2 linked regions of the Mus musculus genome follow. The protein of the gene in region 1 purifies or fractionates together with the protein of each later gene. This does not show direct contact. Links are inferred from orthologs where the notes say so. Each region holds a gene or a part of one and is shown on either strand. Other genes may lie near its edges.

Region 1 (4,225 bases):
CTTACTATTTCAAAAGACACTGTTGTACAAGGTTATTTATTTAGTTACTTTACATCCCAAACGCACTACCTCCCTCCTCTCCTCTCAGCCCCACCCTTACAGATCCATTCCACCCATTATTCCCTCCCCTTCTCGCCCTGGCACATCAAGTTGCATCCAAACTAAGCACATCTCCTACTGAGGCCCAACCAGTCAGTTCAGCTAGGGGAAGGGGATATAGTGGAAGGCAACCAAAATGGAGACAGCGCCTGCTCCAATTGTTAGGGGACCTACATGAAGACCAAGCTACACAACTGCTTCAAATGTGTAGGGGGGCGTAGGTCCATCTCCTGCACATGTTTTGATTGGTGGTTCAGTCTCTGTGAGCCCCCACGGGCCCAGGTTTGTTGATTCTGTAGGCCTTCTTGTATTCTTGGCCCCTCCAGCTCACTCAATTCTATCCCCCCACTCTTCCACAACTCCCTGAGTTCTGCCTGATGTTTGGCTGTGGGTCTCTCCATCTGTTTCCATCCACTGTTGGATGAAGCAAGAGTCCATTTTCTTTAGGGTGTTCCCTCACAAAGTTGACCATAATCTAGTGGAAGGTCACATACCCAAGAGTATATAGGCTGCACAAACTGCACTTGATAGCTTTAAACACGTTTTTTAAAGAACACAAAGTTGAGTGAATAGAGGAAAGGAAAGGATTTGGGGCAAAGGTATATGTAATCTAAACACACCCCACAAAATTCTCAAAGATTTATTTTTTCCTCTTTTTCTCTTTCTTTTTCATTTTCTTCTTCTTCTATAACACTCCTGGGAATAGAGCCACAAGATGCTCCAACATGAAATAAGAACACATGCTCCATTATGTTCATAGCAGCCATATTTATGATAGCCAGAAACTAGAAGCATCCCAGATGTCCCTCAATAGAGAAATGGATACACAAAATATGGTGCATTTACACAGTGGAATACTACTCAGCTACTAAAAACAATGACTTCATGAAATTTACAGGCAAATGGATGGAACTTGAAAATATCATCCTGGGTGAGGTAACTCAGTCACAAAGGAACAAACACGCTATGTACACACTGATAAGTGGATATAAACCCAAATGTTCGGAATTCCCAAGATTCAATTCACAGACCATATGAAGCCTAAAAAGAAAGAAGACCAAAATGTGGATGCTTCAGTGCTTTTTATGAGGGTGAGCAACACATACTCAGAGGAGGAAATATGAGACAAAGTGTGGAGCAGAGACTGAAGGAAAGGCCATCCAGAGACTGTCCCGCCTGGGGATCCATCCCACATAAAGCCACCAAACCAGGACACTATTGTGGATGCCAGGAAGTGCTTGCTAATGGAAGCCTGATAGGGCTGTCTCCTGAGAGGCTCTGCCAGAGCCTGATAAATACAGAGGAGGAAGCTCGCAGCCAACCATTGGACTGAGCTCGGGGTCCCCAATGGAGAAGATGGAGAAGGGACTGAAGGAGCTGAGAGGGTTTGCAGCCCCACGGAGGTAGCAACAGTGTCAAAAGGTCAGACCCCCCCAGACTTCCTGAGGACTGGACCACCAACCAAAGAATACACATGGAGAGATCCATGGCACTGGCCATATATGTGGCAGAGAATGGCCTTGTTGGACATCAGTGGGAGGAGAGGCCCTTGGGCCTGAGGATGTTCAATGCCCCAGTATAGGGGAATGCCAGGATGGGAGGATGGAAGTGTGTGAGTAGGGGAGCACCCTCATAGAAACAGGGGGAGGAGTAATGAGATAAGGGTTTTCTGTAGGAGGACTCCTAGAGACTGAACCACCAATCAAATAACAAGCATGGGCAGGACCTAGGCTCAGATGTGCATCTTGGTCTTCTTGTGGGTCCTCCAACAACTGGAGCAGGGGCTTAGCCTGACTCTGTTGCCTGCCGGTGGATCCTGCTTTCCTAGCTGGGCTGTCTTGTCTGACTTCAATGGGAGTAGATGTATCTAGTCTTACAGTGCCAGGGTAGGTTGGGTCCCCAGTAGGGACCTCCCCTTCTCAAAGGTGAAGGGGAGGGGAGGAGGAGGAGGAGGAGGAGGAGGAGGAGGAGGGAGAGATGCCTGTGAGGGAGGACTTGGAGATCTGGATAATAAATAAATAAATAAATAAATAAATAAATGGATGGATGGATGGAAAAAGAAATTTTTTCGGATTTCTTTTGCTCACTATGCTATTGTTATACTAAGGCTTCAAAGGTTCAGAATTTTAACAACCACTGGAGTGCTGAACATTTTGGTTACCCATTCTCTCTTTGTACCTTTGGGTCTCCTGGCTGCTGCCCCTGGTTTCCCTCTCTTCCCTCTATCTTCCCTTCCTCCCTCTCCCCACATGACTCAGGGTCACATCCTCTCTGAACTCTCCCAGAAGTCCCTGCCTCTGGCTATGCTCTCCCACATATCTATAATAAACCTTTTTCTCCACAATATCTAGGGGCAATCATGTCCCTTTCCTTTTTAGTTCACACACAACAAATAAATAAATAATAAATGTTTTTCAAGTGAAAAGAAAAAAGAGGAGGCAGAGGGAGAGGAGAAAGACAGAGGGAGAGAGAGAGAGAGAGCACCTTGGTGTTTCTGGTATAGAGGGGGGAAAGTGTAACCAGCCCAGGAACACATGCTCAAGTGTCCTAGCCAAGCCAAAGCAAATTAAAATAATTAAACCAAACATATCACATCTCTATTTTCCCGTCCAGCAACTGGAACCCCATAGACACCATTATTGTACTGAAATTTACCACTGACAAGATGTTTTTAATTTCTTTATATATAGGGACTGTTCTAAGCATTTCCCAGGTCACCTTCAGGACTCACCAATACAGAAGAAAGTGGGTGAGGCTGGAGACATGGTTCTGCAACCCAGTCCTGAGCTATGTGGCCAAGCAGGGAAGTTGTAGATGCCTGGAACATAGGAACAGGATGCGCTGAGGGTGAAGAACTCCCCTCCTCCCTGCTTCTACCAGCCCCAGATTTCCTAATTGAGAATCATCAAGACAGGGTCATCTCCTCAGTAGGATGACTTGCACACAGCTTTTAAAGCCACCACTTATCTCTTCTTGCCAGCTGTATGGCAGCCTGTATGTCTGTTTGCCTTGGAGGAGCATAAACTGTGTCTTAGACTCCCATAAAATCCCTAATGGTTACTAGGGAAAGCATAGTCCATACTTCATAGACTGCCAGGTCCAAAGGTCATTCCAGTTCCCCAAACTCCAAAGGGCAGTGCATAAGTACAGAAATAAGAATCTTGGCCCAGCTCAAGCTAGACTATAGAAGAATTTCTGGCAGTTAGGTAAAAGTCAGCATTTCTCAAGAATTTGTGAAACAGTTCTAGATATCTAGAAGTCATCTCCTTTGCCTCTCCATTGGCACATACCTATGGTTGCATATCAAAGCCCAGGCTTGTCTCCAGGCTCCTACAGTCTCTATTCACAAGTAGGTGTTATACCATTCAAAACCCCACACTAGCATCCTGGCCCTTCTCAAATCCCAGACTTTCCTTCTTCTAGACAGCCATTTATTCTTGCTATTTCCATATTCTCTGCTATTTCTCCTGCTCTAGCCCTGGCCAAGTCCTGTCTGATTCTTTTTATTCCTAGTCTGGACTCTCCCAGATGCCTCTGGATATTTAGTCTGACTTGCTCAAAAAAAAAAAAAAAAAAAAAAAAAACAACTCTCCCCTCCTAGGAGATGGAGCAGCCATTTAGGTGGATTCTTTATTGTGCCCTCTCAAATACATATACCTACCAGGATCATTATAACTCCAAAAAGTGAAAAACATACCTCATTCCTGACATATGGAGTGATTTTTAGAAGTTCAAATCACTTAGTGATCTTCCAAAGGACTGCAGCTCAGTCACCAATGCCACATTAGCCTATAACTCCAGCTCCAAAGAATCCAATTCCCTCTCATTTACATACATACATATAATTGAAGTTAATTTTTTAATTACCCCACCCCTAATTGAGGAGCGTTTGGTAGGTGATGGCCGCTAATGGCAGGAAAGTCATCATTCTTCAGTGGTTTGACCTATGGTAGCTTGCCCATGTTTCATTGGATGGCCCTACACCTATGTGTGTATGGTAGCTTGCCCATATTTCATTGGATGGCCCTACACCTATGTGTGTATGGCGAGCACTAATTGGACTCAGGAAGTTACAAAAAGAAGATCAAAGGAAGAAGGGAGAGTAAAGGAGGAAGAGGAAAGAAAG
Region 2 (3,649 bases), on another chromosome or scaffold:
GCTGCTAGGTCATTAAGGAAGATGGAAGCCTTTCTCACAGGAGCCAGTGCCTGCTCTTGAGGGCCCACATAAAATCTCTTAGGAGAGAGATGTTAGGGAGTGTGTCATCCCCACGACCTAGTTCATTCTGCATGAGCCTGCTTGCCTCTCTGCTTCTCACCTTGTAGTTCTCCACCTGACAGCAGCAAGCTCCTGAAGTCAAAAGCAACACACTTACTTCCTGTATGGAGGCCCAGCCTTCTGCTCTACCAACAGAGAGGAGCCAGAGTGAGCTGAATAGAGAACGCTCCAGCAAGACTGTGGGGAAGGAATGCTGGACAGCAGGAACAAGAGCCAGACACCATGGCACATGTCACACTGTGGATGGTCTGGAGGATGTTATGACAAGGGACCCATGCTGAGCAGAGAACAGAAAGCGGTTAATTCTTTTCTGTGGGTCTCTGGCTTCAAAACTGGTACAAAAGGTTGTCCGTGGGCTGGGAATTGTGTGCTCAGGGTAGAGGGGAGACATGCTTCACTCTATAGCTATCTATTTCTTGATTTTGGGACCATGTGAGCATTTTATTTAATGATAAGCATGATGGACAGCTCCCACACTACTGAAAGTTAAAAACATGTTTAGAACTGCGAGCTGCAAATCATTAAGTAGCCAGACTCTGAGAGCAATTTCTTTGAAAACCATCTATGGGTCGGGAAGAATGGGAATCTTTTATTAGAAAGTTTGACCTTTTATTGCACATTTCCCCCTTTATTTTTAAAGTGTATGTATATGGGTGTTTTGCCTGCATGTATGTCTGTATACCATGTGTGTGCAGTGACTGTGAGGTCAGAAGTGAGCACTGGATCCCCTGGAACTGGAGTTACAGACAATTGTGAGCCACCGGGTGGATGCTGGGAACTGATCCTGGGGCCTGCAGAAGAACAGCCAGTGCTCTGAACTGCTAAACTATCTCTCCAGCTTCTAATGTGCATATATTATTTTTGACAAGAATAAAACTATTTAATAACAAGTAGTTTTAAAGAATACAAAAACTTCAAAGAAAGAAAGAAAGAAAGAAAGAAAGAAAGAAAGAAAGAAAGAAAGAAAAGAAGAAAGGAAACTTCAGAAATTTGCCAAGAAGAAATACTAATCTACTCTATTATCTCTTTGCCTAAATATAATAGCATTTTGGTAAATTACATTTTCAGCCCCCTGCCACATAATTATGTTCTTTTTATTCATGGCTTTCTTATTTCTCCTCTTCTTCCCTTTTTATTCTGTAAATAGTCACATAGTCGATTAAAACACCTTTTAAAAAAGATCTTCACACACACACACTTTTCTGGGTAGTGAAGGTCACAGACAACCCAATCACAAGGGCTTTCTCTACATAGCAGCTTTGCAAAAGGGTGGAGATTTCTCAGTCATCAATGTTGCCTGTTTCTTTGTGTCTATGAATCATGTCCTCTAAGGAGCTAAGAGTAGTTCTGGTCAGAATGCTGTGGACTCTACACACACACACAGAGTTGTGATCTCATTCACTCACTCACTCAGTCACACAGAATCCTTCCAAATCTGGAACACCAAAAGCGATAGGCAAGCAGAAGGTCTTAGGAGGTGCTCGGCCATAGTTTAGAAGCACCTTTGCCACTGGTTTGGGCCCTGTCATTTTCTCCAAGCCTCAGAGGTCTTGGCTGGAATATCACACGTAACAACATATTACACATAATGCACACATTATATGTAATATTATATTATTATGTCAGGTATCATATATATATATATATATATGAATATGTAATCTTTTATTTGTACAGGTAGATAGATATATATTTGTAGGGTTAGATAGATATAGGCTTACGTACAGAATGATGTCTGTCAGTTTAGATACTGTGGATAAGTAGAAATAGTTTTCCTAGTTTATAGCGGTGTTAAATCACTAACTTCACCACCATCTCCCCATCTTGACAAGCTGAGTGTGACAGGAGGCTCTCCTACAGTCATCAGTACTCTGTTGAACCCAGGCCCATGGCCTGTGACACTCTCTGGCCCTGGGTCCGTTGCTTCCTCTGATATTCTGACCTCCTAGTATCTCATCCACAGTATGGAGACTGTCTTAAGGTTATTTAGCCTTCCTGAGTTACTCATTCATTTGTCCATTATTCATTCATCAGGTATCAAGTAAGGTCCAAATCACACTGGCCTCCTTCCTGTGGCCCAAGTCCAAAGCTAGCTGTTGCCACTGTGGGATGCTCAACTCTCAACTTCCAAGCCTCCTTCCCTCATGCCTTTGAGTCTCAGACATTAATAGCCCTTGGGTAAAGACAGTAGATCCCTTCTTTGCAAGAATTCCTGGTAGCCCATAGCCATCCACATGCTTTCTCCAGCATCTCTTACCCCACCACAAGCGGAAATCATCTGTTAAGCATCAGTTTCTCCCATGAAGGGAAGGGTGGAGAACCTCCCTCCTTCTGGCCTTGGGTATGGACCATGCGCCCAGGTATTTCTAAATGAATAGGGCAATTAGTAACTTTAATGATTTAACTGCAATTTTCTCCTCTTAATTTAAATTTTATGTGCATGGGTGTTTTTCCTACATGTATGTCTGTGCATTATGTACCAGCAATGCCTGCAGAGGCCAGAAGGGGGTGTTGGATCCCCTGAGATTGGAGTTGGTAGATGGCTGTGAGGGGCCATGCAGGCTCTGGGACTAGAACCTAGGTTCTCTGCATGAATAGCCAGTGCTCTCAACTGATGACTTATCTCTCAAGCCACTAAAGATTTACCTTTAAGATCAGAAGAGTCCTTCAGTGCTGAACAGTAGCAACTACCCCCTGAAGAGGGTAAGAGCCACTACCACAGTTCTCACAACTAGCAGAAGACATTGAAGACCCTCCTTCCTTGGACATGGTCTGCCCCATCTGGAACCCTGCTTTGGCAGAGGGGCACTAGTGTCTAATCTGCCTCACTGAAACACCAGGAGCAGCGCCAGGTGCACAATGTAGTAAGTGGTGAACTCACTGAAGGAAGAGTGAGGTAGAAACATCTAAGCATCGTTCAGTAAGATTTGCATAAAGGGTAAGGACCTAAGTTCTGTCAGAAGAACAGATCTGGGTAGACAGAGCTATTGTCTCTGGGGTGCTTGTTCTCCCCTCACAATGGAGTGGGGTGTAGGGAAATGATACCTGGGTAGGGAATCTTCCCATAGGTGACAATCTCATACAGGAGAATTCCGAAGGACCACACGTCAGATTTGATAGTGAAGCAGCCGAAGTTGATGGCCTCTGGAGCTGTCCACTTGATAGGGAACTTCGCACCTGAGGAGGAAGATGTGGGCTCCTACTCAGAGTTCAAGCTAATGATGGGTTATGAGTAATTTTCTTCTTTGACTTTTTTTTTTGAAATTTAAGTAATTTACTTGGAATAGAAAAGATACAATCAAAATGGATGTGGTGTCAAATTTGTTCACCTCCCTTTCTTGCATATCCCTTTTGGGTCCTCCCCTCCTTAGAAGCAGTTTCTTCTGGAACCTCTATGGGGCACTGTAGCCAGTTCAACTTTAAACACAAAAGGGCATGGTGTACAGTGCAAATACAATTTTCTTATATTGTTGGCCTTTCAAATGTGTTGAAATTTTTATCTAGAGTTTAGCATGCTGACATGCACCTG

What was found. Proteins that work in one complex are often made in the same cells at the same time.
Region 2: the proteins of Gp6 (region 1) and Lyn purify together in Homo sapiens (affinity purification with western blotting; 5 studies listed by BioGRID and IntAct, with this or other methods). This does not show direct contact. The link is inferred for Mus musculus from reciprocal best matches to the Homo sapiens genes GP6 and LYN.

The regions. Positions count from the first base shown.
Region 1 is NC_000073.6:4,394,821-4,399,045, forward strand, and holds the start of Gp6 (platelet glycoprotein VI precursor), read right to left. Parts: upstream 2,925-4,225; 5' UTR 2,865-2,924; coding exon 2,831-2,864; intron 1-2,830.
Region 2 is NC_000070.6:3,782,621-3,786,269, reverse strand, and holds part of Lyn (tyrosine-protein kinase Lyn), read right to left. Parts: intron 3,298-3,649; coding exon 3,166-3,297; intron 1-3,165. UniProt on the Homo sapiens protein: Non-receptor tyrosine-protein kinase that transmits signals from cell surface receptors and plays an important role in the regulation of innate and adaptive immune responses, hematopoiesis, responses to growth factors and cytokines, integrin signaling, but also responses to DNA damage and genotoxic agents.